Schizosaccharomyces pombe: one gene and its partner. Changing the gene in region 2 together with the main gene of any one other region gives a genetic interaction. Each region holds a gene or a part of one and is shown on either strand. Other genes may lie near its edges.

Region 1 (6,528 bases), on a different chromosome or scaffold from region 2:
GACTTCCTATTCAAAGTATCGAACATACTTTATTTTGAGGGTTGTTATTGGATTGAAGCCGATTCAATGCAAAACACCGATAACATCAATTAATTTATGTTCACTATTATAGGAAAGGAATATTTACAATCTTTTTATGTATATAGTTTTTTAATGAAGCAGTTCAACTTTGTTTTGCTTTATAAAACTAGGTATGTACTGAACAAAAATATTAGCATTCCTGTAAATTTAATAAACGAAAAATTTTTCCTATTTATTTTGTCACAATAGTAACCACATCTCCTTCTTCAACTCTATGATTTAAACCAACAACCTGGGGACTATGTTTTGCAGAAGTACCCCATACAAGTGCATATTTTAATTGTTCAGCCAATGTTCTGTGAATCCTATTACAGACTTGCTCGATTGTTGATCCCTTGCGCACAATCAGGGCTTCAGAGAAGTCGGGCATTTCTCCTTTCCGTTTAGTATATATTCTGTAGAGATTGAGTTCTTCCCAAATGCGCTCTTTAAGAAAGTCAAGATTCAGCTTCATATTACAGCTAATAACGACAGACTTTGGTAAACGAGCAAGTCGGTCCACTTCTTCCAACGAAACGGCATCAATCTTACTATAACAATACAGACAATTGATATATCGCCGATTTCCCATAACAAGATCAATAAAGTCATCCACGGTGATGTCTTCACGAATTAGGATATCTGCATTGTGGATTCTGTATTCATGTAAAATATTGTATGCCATTTTGTAATCCATATGAGTTAGAGGAACAGTGTGATTAAATTTAATGCCCCCATTTTTTTTTATGGTAAGGGTCACATTTGGTGGTTGTCGATTTAAACGAATGCCAACTTGTTCAAGTTCATACTCAATTTTTTCTCGCTGATCGGCAGCTTTTGTAGCATCCAAAACCATTAAAATTAAATCAGCTGTGCGTGCAGCAGATACTGCTTGGCGGCCACCTCTTCCCTGAGAGGCACCTTCAATGATACCTGGAAGATCTAACATTTGAATTTCTGCTCCATCGTATTCGAGTACACCTGGAATAGCCGTTAAAGTAGTGAATTCATAAGATGCAGTCGCCGACTATATTACCATTGTTAGTAAAAAAATAAAGTATTTAAAAAGAAATAGCAAACCTTCGTTTTCGTAATAGCAGACAGCAAAGTAGATTTACCAACAGATGGAAATCCAATAAATGCAACTCTAGCATCACCACTTTTCAAAACATCGAAGCCCTCCCCCTTTGGCCCCGATTTTGAAGTAGGTTCAAGTAATTGAGCCCTCAGCTTGGCGAGTTTTCCTTTCAACTAAAGGACTAGGTTAGTTTAATTTAGAGTTGATTCTTTATAAGTTGGAACAACATTGTAATATTTGCTATAAAATAAAAGGCATTCCAGTTAGAAATGAATTAAAAAAACTTACCAAACCAAGATGGTACTCCGTCGCCTTATTTTTTTGCGTCCGGCGCATTTCAGCTTCAATCTCTTGAATCTAGCCAATTTAGATTAGTATATAACGGCAGATATTTTTATTTACTTTTTCTAAGACACCCATTTTCCCATTTAATAACCTATCGTAGTGTGGTAATATGAAATTGTTGCTACTTTCAAGTTTTTACTGCGTATGGCCTAAGACAAGATTCAAATGGAGGTTGAGGAGATGGAATTCTTCCAGTCAGCTTACGATCTAAATGTACAGCTGAATGTTTTTCTAGTAAAATACTGCATGAAAAGATGAAATTAAATTACAATATCCACGACTAATACGGCCTTTTACAAGCCTCTTATAATGAATCCATCATTTATACTAAAAATTAGTAATTTGAGTTAATATTAATAATGGACTTATATTTTATTTAATTCTCGAAAGGAATATAGTTAATTTTCAATACTTGATGCACACACCTTTCCTCAACAAAAATAAATGAAACTAAGGCTCCAGTCCTTTACTTAAAAAGGATATGCATTCTAATTATACAATATCGATCTAGTAAAATTATACCTTCAGGAATTCAACTGAAGTTCTTGAAGTTTCAACTTCCTTCGTCTTCTCCTTTCCTCTAATCTTTTCTTTGCATTCGCAGTACGTTGATTTGGACTCTTCAAATCATAATCCACGCGAGAACTAGTTGCAACTTTAACTTGTGGTTTTTCAACATCAGCACTTGTAGTTACGTTCGCTTTTGATTGGTATACTGACGTTGGATTTGTTTTTCCAAGGTTTGAGCTTAAAGAAGATAACACGTTTGGCGTCACTCTTGCTTTTGGCAATTGCTGCAAGGTAGTAGCAGAAGATAAGCTACCACCATCTTGTGGGAAACTAAGTTTCGACGGTAAGTGGGACTTCTTTGCTGCTATTGAAAATGGAGCAGGTGTAGGAGTTTGATTAGACTGCATTAAATTCATACGTACTTTGGAAGCTGCGGAAATAGGAGTTGATGAAATTATTCCTTCAGAAGGTATTAGGTTTGTCGTATGGGACTTTTTTGATGAATGAGTCAGCATTTGAGCTGCCAAATGCGACATATCTGCTCCCCGATGTAAATTCTTGGAAGGAACCTGTTCTTGAGGCTCACGCACATCAGATTGGGATGGCCTAGAAACAACTTTAGTAGTAATCGGACTTGGCTTAGCAGTATAAAGCTCCCTCATTTGGCTAAATCTATTTCCAACGAATTCCTTGCCTTTGTATTTTGACTGTTGTCCTTGATGATTATGGATTTTCTCCGTTTCTAAAGCTCGACAACGTTGTTTCCAAAAATTGATTTCCTCTTGTTTCTCTAAAATTAAGGATTCCAAACGCTCACGGATAGAGGTTAATTCTAACTCAAGATCCGAATGAGCAGAATCTAGCATACTAAACTTTTGCTTCCAGTATTTTCCTGAAGAGGAACGAGGCGCATCAAGGTTTATCGTATAGTCAGGTTCATCCAAGCTCTCAGAGGGAAAAGCTTGGGATGTGTCAATCATAACGTCTTTAATAATTTCCTTCATTTTTCGATTATTGTTCACAACATCTCGAAAGCAATCCTTCATTAAACTTGACCAGTCATTATTATTGTTACTATCCCATTTGAATTTAGAGATCTCGGCATCCATCGAGTGAGGATATTTTTTCTTTGAAGGGACATCTTCGCCTAATCTCTGATTGCTTTTTGTCTCATTTTTATAGGATTCATTGATATTAATATTATAGCGATTATCAAACTCGTCATGCTTACTTTTGTTTTCATTATCCGGATTATTAATATTCGGTTTTGGAGTACTCTGTAACAAAGGGGATTTGAATTCTTCATGACCCATTAAAGGATTCTCATCATCTAATCTCGTAAATAAGAAATTATTTTTCGTTGGACGATTCCACGTCGCAGCATCTTTTGAAATATCTTTGAAATTGACGGTCTTCTTTATTTGTAAAGTACCTGGAGTTTTCAAAATCCCATTTTGTGCTGCTTTACTTTTTAACGGAGTTAATGTCTCAGTTGGGCGCAGGTCTTCTTTTGCGTCTTGCGGAAGTTCTGCATCAGATTCTGCATCCTCAATGTAAGAGGACATTTTTGTAACAGGCTTCGTCACAGTTCCTGCTAATTTACTAGAAAATGCTTTCAAAACCCATGCATATGTTGGCGGAGTGTTCAAAGTTTCTAAATTTTGAGATTAGCTTTGTTTACATAGGAATTCCTTACCTGACATTCTATCGGATCTCTGAATTGTTCTGCATGTAAAAATATAATTAAAAATATAAATAATTTAAACGAATTTAACAAAATTATGTCCAAACAACCCAACTTTAACAATATTTCCCAATTCGGTGGTTTTCAACGTATGGCACAAACACAACAAACTAATAAAGAACCCGATCGCATGTTACATTGGACGTCCTCTCAGTACACTATTTTACACACTGCGTATCGTCATATTTCTTTTAATATGTGAACTCGTTATTGTATGTTAATAAACTTTGTGATATCGTGAACGGTCTTTTCGCTATATGGAGGAGGTAATTGAATAGGAAGTAGAGTATAGCTGCAATGAAATACATTTACTACTACGATTATAAATAATACTTATAGATGGGTAATTGATAAAGGATATTGAGTATTTGTAGATATAGCGCTCATTGCAATAAAAGTCATATGGCAATTTTTGTCTTAACGAGCTTGCGCATCCAAATTCATAGCATTTGAATCAAGGGGGGTCGCAATGGTTGAGCTTCATTTTCGTGAACAAGTTTGTCGTATTTCCACCATAGAAAAAGCACGCATCTATCTACCTGTTTGAAATAGTCAAAGCAAATCTTAGAAACTTTAAACTTTTTACGTAAGATATATGCCTCAATTTACTTTTAAAATCTTTTTAAAAAACAAATAAGGAATTCTTATACGTATCGATCAAAAACCGACTCTATCAAACTTAAACATATTGGGAAATCTAAAGAGTTCATCTACACTAAAAGAAAACAACAGCATACTAAACAGAATACACAACATATAACGAGCAGCAAAAAAGTAGACAAACCATAGAAAGGTTAGCTAAAAACGAAACACACATATTGCCCCTTCAGGGTAAGCAAGATAAATAAACATGCGAATTTTTTCAGGACGAGTCATTTCAACTAATCCAAACTAAAAATTATTCATAAAGAACGATTTAGACCAATGGATGCTGTAAAAGATTTTGCGCTTAAAAAATAGAAAAGACAGTCCATCATAAAACTAAAGGTTTTAATTTCGAAGAAAAGAAGCTGAAATTAAACGGTTGGGTAATAGCAATTTTCAAAAAGTGAGACGACACTCTGTACAGAAAAATCAAGATCTATAATTATTCGACCAACGCTTTACCAATGTAAATAAATAAATCCTCGCCATAAAGTTGTTTGCTGGCGAGGGAATTAATGAAAAAATAACCAACAATCATTAATTGCACTCAAGTCAGAAAATAAACACGGCTTTTAGTTTAATCAGTGGTGCATGCTCTCTTTCGAGAAAAGTAGAAAGAACAAGCCAAATAGTTTTTTAAAACATTGCATCCAAACAGCAACAGCAAGCAAGACCGGTCAATCTAAAAACAGTCGTTAGTAAAGAGAAAAAGGTAAAGCAAAACACAGTTCAACAGGGAACTATTCGAAAGGAACGCCAAAGCAACTTTAATCGACTGACGTAATGACCTAATTCAATAAAGAATACCCCATTCACCTTTCAAAATTAAGAGTGTGCTTCACCGTTCCAATGCAATTTCGACGTCTTCTACGCGCCCATTCTTTATACTTACAGACCACAGCAAAGATCGCCACCAGGATCACTGGCCTGAGGTTGCTGAACATACATAGGTTGCTGAGCAGGATATCCACCTTGAGGATAGCCTTGTGGAGGAGCATAACCTTGTTGAGGATAATTTTGTTGAGGAGGATAATAGTTTGGGCCTCCATAAGCTTGTTGAGGAGGAGCAGGGGCCTAAAATTGAAGCTGTTAGTAAAATCCTGAATAAATTGTTGCAACTGAGCTGCATAACAAATTCCATACATAGCCCTTATCACCATAAAACTGTTGAGCAGACATTTGACACCTTAAATAATTGGGTACAAAAACAAAACCAGTTGATGGTAGTTGGCAAGTTGTGAATCGGGCGCAGGCTTCTATGTGCGCGTCAGAGATCGAATGCATAGACAAAAAATTTATACAACAACAATAGAAGCATACTAATTTTAATGTTGTAAATAAATGGTTTATGTATTAAAATGTTTGTAAATGTATAAAATATATACTTTCCTTTTCTGCGGTGGAAAGTTCTTTTACCACATAAACTAAGCATCTTACGCAATATTCGCTGTAGGCTGTGCAAAGATAATCTGATGGTTAAAAACATGTTGGGTTGCCCAATATGAGTATATCGAACTGGCTTTAAAGTGCGTTATAGGTGTAAATAGCTATTGATTTGCTGCTGGCGTTTGCAAATGCAAGGTAAGTTTTTATTTTTTTTCAGTTGAGCTTTTAAATTTTTTGCTTTTCATTGTCACTTGATCATTCGAAATTTTTGTAGCGTAGCTTGACTGGAATGTTTGATCACTCAAATCTTTTACCGGTTGCTCATGAATACTACACATGCCTTAGTGTTGGATTGTATAAAGTTATAAAATAGTTTTTTTTCACCAGTGCTATTTTATAGCAAAAGCTTCTACATTCGAAGTGAACGGCAATATTAAATAGTTTCCGAGTATCGGAACAAGAGGTGTATTAGATCCACCATTAACCTTCTTTCCTCAGCATTGAAAGAAAGATCGAACTTAGGCCTATGCTTCGCTAGAATCATACGGTTTGCAAAAGAAGACTTGCATCGTCTTCACTATGAGCATGAAGGTTTCATGCTCAATATTTTTTTTTATGTTCACGACTAAAAACTTGCGAAATAGTTGAAATACCACAGTCAGACTACCGCCGATCATGACATCGGTTGCAGAAGTCAAGATTTTGATCTATCATCCTCACTAGATCACACTCGCTAATTTTAAGCTTAAATAGAGGGAAA
Region 2 (8,295 bases):
ACTTTTTTTTTTCATCGTTCATCGAATCCTACTTCCTCTTGACACATAATTAGTCTGCTGGTTTCTTTCTTCCTTCCTTTAAACATTTTGTGAAGAATCTCGTAACCTACCATTCGGTGCTGCTGTATTATAAATCTAATCTATTTGATTCGCTACGGATCTTTCTCACCTTAGACCTTTACTACCTGAAGGGTTCTTTTCTTCTTCTTTAATTCTTTGTCACGATATATTATAACTTTTCATTTTCTTTTTATTTTATTTTATTCTATTTGCTTGTCTGGGTTTAGGTGCTTTGTGTTCTCTTTCTTCTATTCTTTTTTTCATTGTTCCAACTACTCTGCTGACTGCAATATCACGCCTCTTTGAATTCTCGGGAAAAGGCTTATCTACTTTTCCTTTGTTTCATTCGTCTGCTGTCGCCCTGTAGCTTTAACGTTTTCTAACTCCGTCGCTGGTTTCGTCGATTAACTTTGGGTTTCGCATACGGTTTCGTGTAATTTCAAACATTTATTTATTATTTATTTATCTATCTGTCGGTCTGTTTTCTTTGCTTATTTTCCGCATTCATCTTAGCTTATATTTCAATCGTTGAATCCCATCCCTTGCTTCATTCGTTTTTCTCTTCTGCCAACAAATTCTTCTAGAGATTGCATCTTTTATCGTCGTTAAGGAGATTGGTTAAGTAGTTTCCCTCTCATTTTTTCAATCTCTCCTTTCTAGCTTATTTTGGGTTTTTACACAGTTCAAGTTTTCCTTTTATCTGCCTGGTCCCCAAAATCTCGGTTTTGCTTTATTTTCTTTCTTCAAATTCGACTTTGTGCGCTTGAAGATTCGATTTCAAGCAATCATTATTATTTCTTACACTCTTTCTTTGGATGACTATTTTCGCCAACACATCTATCTCTTCATTTTTGCAACTTTTTAGGCTTACTAAGCTTCTTTTTCTTGTATAATAATATTAACTGATTTTGGGTACGTGTCTTCAACATGGCATACCTTTAGAGATTTCTGTTTTTTTCCAGTTAGGAGCACTGTTTAGTCAATCTACTCGTTCTCCTCATTGTGTTCGTCTTCCAATTTTTGTCATCCATTTTTACTTTTCTACTAAATTTTCGTCGAAAGCTTTCATTGTTAGCTTTTTTCCCTTTCATAAACTCGTATTTTCTTCTCTTTGAGAAAAAGCTTGCTAAAAGTTTTCATTTTTCTCCAACAGCTGCTTAAAATTTCATCTTAGATATTTCTCTACACGATGTCGAAAGTTAACATGCGAGCTTTGCTCGAGTCCTTTAGTACCGTGATTCTTTCTATCTACCCCTTGGCTAAAAGTACAAATCAACAATCACATTCGCACTCCCTTTCACTTACTCAGTTTTTGTATGAAACGATTCGCAGAAGTCGTGTCGATTACACTACGTTGCTTCTTGCTTTATATTACTTCATCCGTTTTCGTGATGCTGCTTCTTCTAAGCCTACTAACTACATTCCTCTGTTATGTGGGCGTCGTCTTTTCTTAGTCTGCTTGATGGCCGCTACAAAATTTTTACAGGATCGTAGTTTTAGCAATCGTGCTTGGTCTCGCCTATCAGGACTTCCAGTTGACAAATTACTTGTTTTGGAATATATGTTTTACCAATGCATCGATTATCGTCTTGTCGTTCCTAAACATATTTTTGCTAGATGGTCTCTTTTAGTTGGTGAATGTTGTGCTCACGCGACTGCACGTTATGATTCCACCGATCCTAATGTTGCCTCATTTGGCAGCGTCGCACAATATTGGGTCTCTTTGTTTTCTAATGTTCAATCTTCTCTAGATGATCTTTTTTCCATTGCCTGTTTAACGAAGATAGCACATCGCAGAATGAATGCTAATGCTGCTTTGAAGAATCAGGCTACGAGGAAGCCCTCCTCTTCTCCTCAAACAACTCAAGACTCATCACCTATTCTTACGATGGCACCTTCTACTCCAGTATCTGTTGGCAGTACCCCTCCATCCACTCCATCTGTTTTACCCATTGCCAAACAACTGGCTCCTATGAATGTCTGTAAAGCACATATTCAGGCTTCAAATCAGTCCCGCACTTTGACTACTGCTTCGCCACCCGAACAAATACCGCTTATGGAACCGCAAGTTTATGTAAATCCTCAAGTATTACCGGGTCGGTTGTCAAGCCTTTCTAAGCCAGTTAGTCTACCACCAACTCCTTCTTCACCAAAGGTTGGAGTATATCGGCCAATGACTTCTAAGTCCAATGGAGGTGTTGCTTACTGCTATAATGCTCAAAAATTGAACAATGCTACTGGTCCAGTTACATTTAATATGCCTTTTGCAAGCGTCTTACCACTTGCCGTATCTGTGAGTTGTGATCTGGGTACAGCGTCTGCATATGTCGCGTCCCTCCCTCAACCTTGTTCTCAAAAAAGGCATTTAGAAGAAGACTACTCATGTTTAACGGAACACAGTGCTAAGCGTCGCAGTTACTTTTAATTATCAAGCCCAATCTGCGCTGTCTTCGCCGCTTCTTTCAAAAACTATAATATTTAATGAATAATTTCATAATACTGATGCCATTTTAACAGCGGATGTCAATAAATACCGATAATGTTTTCTTTCTATTGATTTATCTATTCAAATTGTGTGGAAGATAATCATGATATGGGAAACTTGATTAGGTTTATATTACTACCTTCTTTTCATATCTAGACTTGTCAATGTTTTGATTAAAAATCAAATATTGTTGTCGTTTCTATGAATCTTTTTTTAACATTCTAATAGCAAAACGATGTATATATGGTATGAATGAATTAACGATTGGCAACTATATTTACTTATGCATCTTGTAAATTGATATCAGTAGAGCAAGGTATTCAAAAAAGATAATTTTGTTGATTTCTTATGGCCATAAACTTGTCAAATAGTCAAACTATTTAGAGATTATGTATGTGCTCATTAAGATAGTTATATATTTTAGGCAGGTGAATGTAGCCATTTGAAATCTACTACTGAGCTCCAATCCTATTTGAAGGCTCTAAGAGTCCTTTCAATCATTTTTTAACAGAGTTGTCTAAGTAATATTTTTTCAACGATTAAACTGTGAAACATTGAACTAAAATATCTTGATCATTTACAAAAGCAGTAATTGCTACACCGTACTACTAGTAGAGCCAATTTTGATTACGGTCTTTAAAACAATGTTGAATACACTAATTGTAAGCGATTTTTGTAAAAACTAATAATTATACGTATCTTCTTGAACATCACGAAAATTAACTGATATTTCCCTAAAGTACAGTTGCAAGTAGGAAGGATTAAGACAAAACAACAAATTATATACTAAAAATTTTACAAATGTTAAAATCAATTTCACATATATATTTTGTTGTAATTAAATGCACTCAAATACTATAGCTTACAAGTTTAGGGAGCATTACGGAGAACATCCCACATATGCTGTTCTATGAATGGGGTTTGGATTTGGCCATCACCACTTCACCGATTTACTGGTTCTTTTGAATAGTTGAAGTGTATGAGTACAATTTCAGAAGTTGGACCTTGGGAGCTTGGTCTTTCCTTAGGATCAGGAGGACCAAATTCATCACGTTTAGCCAAACATCGTGAAACTGGGCAATTAGCCGTAGTAAAACCGATTGTAGGATGGTCCGAGCTTACTTCGAGCCAACAGGCTAGGATAGAGGGTGAATTAGTTTTGCTTCGATTGATCGAGCATCCTAATGTTTTGCAGCTCATAGATGTGATTTCAGCCCAGGAGCAACTCTTTGTCGTAGTCGAATATATGCCAGGTGGTGAGCTTTTTGACTGCATGCTTCGTAAAGGAAGTTTTACTGAGCAAGATACGGCAAAGTTTCTATGGCAGATTTTGTGTGGATTGGAGTATTGTCATAAACTTCATATCTGCCACCGGGATTTAAAGCCAGAGAACTTATACTTGGATGCCCATGGTTCTATCAAAATCGGTGAATTCGGTATGGCGTCTATTCAACAGCCAGGAAAGCTTTTGCAGACTTCCTGCGGGTCTCCCCATTACGCATCCCCAGAAATTATTATGGGGCGTTCATATGATGGTTGTGCTAGCGATATTTGGTCATGTGGAATTATATTTTTTGCTTTGTTAACAGGGAAATTACCGTTTGATGATGACAACATTCGTTCTTTGTTGCTAAAAGTCTGTCAGGGTCAATTTGAAATGCCATCAAATATCTCTCCTCAAGCCCAACATCTGTTGTACCGCATGCTTGATGTTGATTCATCTACTCGAATTACCATGGAACAAATTCGTGAACACCCGTTTCTTAGTTGCTTTGTTCATCCCAATATTTCTATTCCAATCATATCAGCCCCTATACAACCCATTGATCCATTAATAGTGCAGCATCTCTCTTTAGTTTTCAGATGTTCCGATGATCCTATGCCCTTGTATGAAAAATTGGCATCTCAATCACCCTTGGTTGAAAAAACTCTATATACTCTACTGAGCAGACACTTGCATCCGCCTTCCAGCGCTGCAGTTGATCGCAACCGCGCTGTGGTCGATGATCTCCTTGGTACAGCAGCATCCAACGGGCAGCAAATGGACGAGGAAGAAATTGAACAAGCTATCAATATTCCTACTTTAGCGCCTTATCCAATTTCTTATGCTGCAGAGTCTGTTCCTCGACCTGCTACTTCTGCATCGCCATTTCTTACACCTGTTACCACTTCTGGCACTTTTAATTACTCTTTTAATGCTACCAACCCCCAATCCATACTTCAACGACCAGCCACTACATCTTCTGCTGTTCCTCAACTCCCAAAATCAGTTACCCCAGGACTTGCATATCCCCACGATAGTTCAATGCTGTCATCAAATTACCGACCTCCTTCTGCATTATCTCCTCGCAACTTTAACGTTTCTATAAACGATCCGGAAGTTCAACTAAGTCGTCGCGCTACTTCACTGGATATGTCAAATGATTTTCGTATGAATGAGAATGACCCTAGTATTGTTGGTAATTTAGCAGCTTCCAATTTCCCGACAGGTATGGGACCTCCAAGAAAGCGTGTCACTTCTAGAATGTCCGAACACACTGGTAATCGAGTCGTAAGCTTCCCGCGCGGCAGTGCTTTTAATCCAAGAGTTACTCGCTTCAACGTAGGAAATGAACAATTCTCTAATAATATTGATAATAATAACTATAATCAACCATACGCAAATGCAACCATGAACAACTCTCGTCGTCTTCGTACCCCTAGTGGGGAGAGATCAATGCGTGCTGATCTCTCTCAATCACCAGCCTCTTATGATTCGTTGAATGTTCCCAAACATAGAAGAAGACAATCGTTATTCTCTCCTTCTTCTACAAAGAAAAAGCTTTCCGGCTCACCTTTTCAACCAAAACGATCATTTTTAAGGAGATTATTTAGTAGTGAGCCTTCTTGTAAATGCGTCTATGCCAGCTTGGTTGCTTCAGAATTGGAACATGAAATTTTAGAAGTTCTTAGAAGATGGCAGCTTCTTGGTATCGGCATTGCTGATATTATATATGATTCTGTGAGTGCTTCGATATCTGCTCGTATTAAACGACAAAATTCACTTAATCTTAAACCGGTTCGGTTTAGAATATCGGTACTGGCTGAGTTTTTTGGTTCACAAGCTGTCTTTGTGTTGGAAAGCGGTTCTTCTACAACTTTTGACCATTTGGCTACAGAATTCCAGCTGATTTTTGAAGATAAGGGGTTTTTGGATAATTTGGAACTCTCTTATTTTCAAGCTTCGGCATCCAGACCTGTTTCTCGAATGAGTGTAAGTAGTAGTCCTTTTGCTGTATTTCGTCAACGACAATCCGTCCAAAGTTAAATTCTTTTATTATTATTATTATCATTTTTTTTTGATTCTCCAAAACCTTTGCAAACTTCATTTTTCTCGTGATGCTTTGGAAAAAAAAGGATTATCAAAAAAGCTAATCGTTTGATAATTGAACATAATGTATACTCGTGGAAGTATTGGAACTTTTTGAATTAAGCTTTCATTTTGTCCCATATTGGAACTCTTTTTATACACCAACAATATCTTTATAGACCTCCATTCTTTTTCTGATGTTTTTCTTTTACTTGTTCAACTTGCTATATGGAACCACGGTTATCCGGGAAGCAATAAATGCATTTAATGATTAAATTATATTTTGCTGCTCTGCTACAATGTTTCTCTTGGAACCTGTTGAGTTTTGTACATGTGATGTTGTACTTGGAACTTACTCCAATGATAATAACTTGCATGTCTGAAGCAAGGTAATTTTTGTATTTAGTATGACCGGCTATTGCTGGCATCTTTTTTGAAATACATTTTTCTTATTTAATTTAGGTATAAAATTTTTTATCTTAATCAATCTTTTCTTTTGGCTTTCTAACTCTTCGTTCTAAATCACAATCTTTTTAGTCTCGTTTATTTCAATCGATTTGACTTTTTCTTCATCTTATTTATCACAATCAACTAGCACTAGCGGATACAATTTCAATGAACTGCAGCATAGGTCGTATTATGTTTAGAAATTTATGACCCTTCTGCTTGTTCTGTATAAATTAAATTTATTCCAATTAAGTATTTGGTCGCTCAATGCTAATTAGTATGATATTAAATTTGAGTGGAATTCAATATGTAACCTGCTTACTTCGATAGTTGAAGAAATACATTTGAAGTTGTAGGATATCTAGGTTATCTGCATTGTACAAAGAGTCTGTTTTTTTGGAATGAAGTACGTGACATATTATTAAGCACTTTTAAAATTGTCTGTGCAATTGCCTTTTCAGTATTTTTAGCGAGGTTGCAACTTCAACTTATTACTTGAACAAGCAGCGAAAAACTGCAAGAAAATCGTGTAAAAACTAGTAAATACCATGGCTAATGTAGAGTTACAAACAAGTTTGGTAAGATCTTTTCCAAGCTCAAGCATTTAACATTTTTTAGGGAAAAATTCTTATTGAATTGTATACAGAACATGCTCCTAAAGTACGCATCAAGAATAAAGGACGAACAGTGTTGTTTGCTTTGAAAGTAGAATCGCTAACTTATAGACATGTCAAAATTTCTATACTTTAGCAAAAGAAGGATACTATGATGGTGTTATTGTAAGTTTTTTTCGCACTGTTTGCATCGTGCAAATAAGCATGTTGAAATATGAGTCTACAATTTAATATTTCAAGTGTGTTATTTTATTGATTTAACTGTTCACATTTACATGATGGACTCAGTCAGTCATATAAATATGTGTCCTATAATTCATTCAATATCGTATTTGATTTAATTCGTGAAATTGGTACTAATTAAATTAGTTTCACAGAGTTATTCCAGACTTTGTAATTCAAGGAGGGGATCCCACAGGTACAGGTCGAGGTGGAACTTCTATATATGGGTAGGCAAAGCTTTATAAATCGGCATTCACCGATTGTTTGCATCTTTATTACGAAGTTTTCACATTCTTATTAATTGATTAGGGATAAATTTGACGATGAGATTCATTCCGATTTACATCACACTGGAGCTGGCATTTTATCAATGGCCAATGCTGGACCTAACACAAATTCATCACAGGTATGATGACTTTGTTTACACTAACTTTAACCATCTTCAGTTTTTTATCACTCTAGCACCTACTCCTTGGTTAGACGGAAAACATACAATTTTTGGTCGTGTTGTTAGCGGGCTTTCTGTGTGCAAGCGTATGGGTCTTATCCGAACGGATTCATCTGACCGCCCAATTGAACCTTTAAAAATCATTAAAGCTGTTGCACTTTAAATTATTCTTTAAAGGATATTCAAAGGTTTTAATCTATAAGTCTTTTTTCGATTTTTCAACACATCCTGAAGATATTGACTAAAGTTATTTGTCACGGATATTAAAAGCTAAATTAATAGTTGATAAAGAGAAGCATTTCCTTACAAAAGGTGGACTTTTTAATTGAAGTCAAATTTTACAAGTCAAGTGGAATAACATAAGCTTCTAAGAAGGAATTAACTAGTTTTCTAGCTTAAGAAATTGGAGATGGATTTTGTTACGCATATCAACCTAGTTGTTTGACCATAAACGATTGAACAAAAACCTTTTACAACGTTAGCATTGCTTCCGGTACTTTTCTCCTTATCAAAAATTTTACAATTGTATTTTTTTCTTAATTAGAAGATTAAAGCTCGGGCCAAATATACAACTACAAGAGTTTATTGGACTAGATTACTCAAATACTATTGCTTCAGTTTTTTTGTTACAACGTGGGATGTTATTTTAAAAAAAATTCAGAATCAAAAT

The links.
Region 1: of cdr2 (region 2) and cut12, changing one suppresses a phenotype caused by changing the other (phenotypic suppression), as found in Schizosaccharomyces pombe (one study listed by BioGRID).

The regions. Positions count from the first base shown.
Region 1 is NC_003423.3:538,451-544,978, reverse strand, and holds cut12 (protein Cut12), read right to left. Parts: upstream 3,824-6,528; 5' UTR 3,697-3,823; coding exon 3,690-3,696; exon of another isoform or gene 3,648-3,689; coding exon 2,008-3,647; 3' UTR 1,811-2,007; downstream 1-1,810. Other genes in the region: GTP-binding protein Gtp1, read right to left, coding at 254-1,087, 1,141-1,311, 1,427-1,495, 1,541-1,558; tail anchored plasma membrane protein Uvi15, read right to left, coding at 5,019-5,064, 5,275-5,456, 5,526-5,561. UniProt on the Schizosaccharomyces pombe protein: Required for bipolar spindle formation. May act as a regulator of the p34cdc2/cyclin B kinase. Required for full activation of the plo1 kinase.
Region 2 is NC_003424.3:1,361,322-1,369,616, forward strand, and holds cdr2 (serine/threonine protein kinase Cdr2), read left to right. Parts: upstream 1-3,474; 5' UTR 3,475-3,524; coding exon 3,525-5,852; 3' UTR 5,853-6,647; downstream 6,648-8,295. Other genes in the region: cyclin Pas1, read left to right, coding at 1,250-2,485; cyclophilin family peptidyl-prolyl cis-trans isomerase Cyp1, read left to right, coding at 6,890-6,919, 6,960-7,001, 7,067-7,120, 7,325-7,404, 7,487-7,583, 7,624-7,788. UniProt on the Schizosaccharomyces pombe protein: Acts as a mitotic inducer. In G2 it negatively regulates wee1, a mitotic inhibitor. Also has a role in cytokinesis where it required for proper septum formation.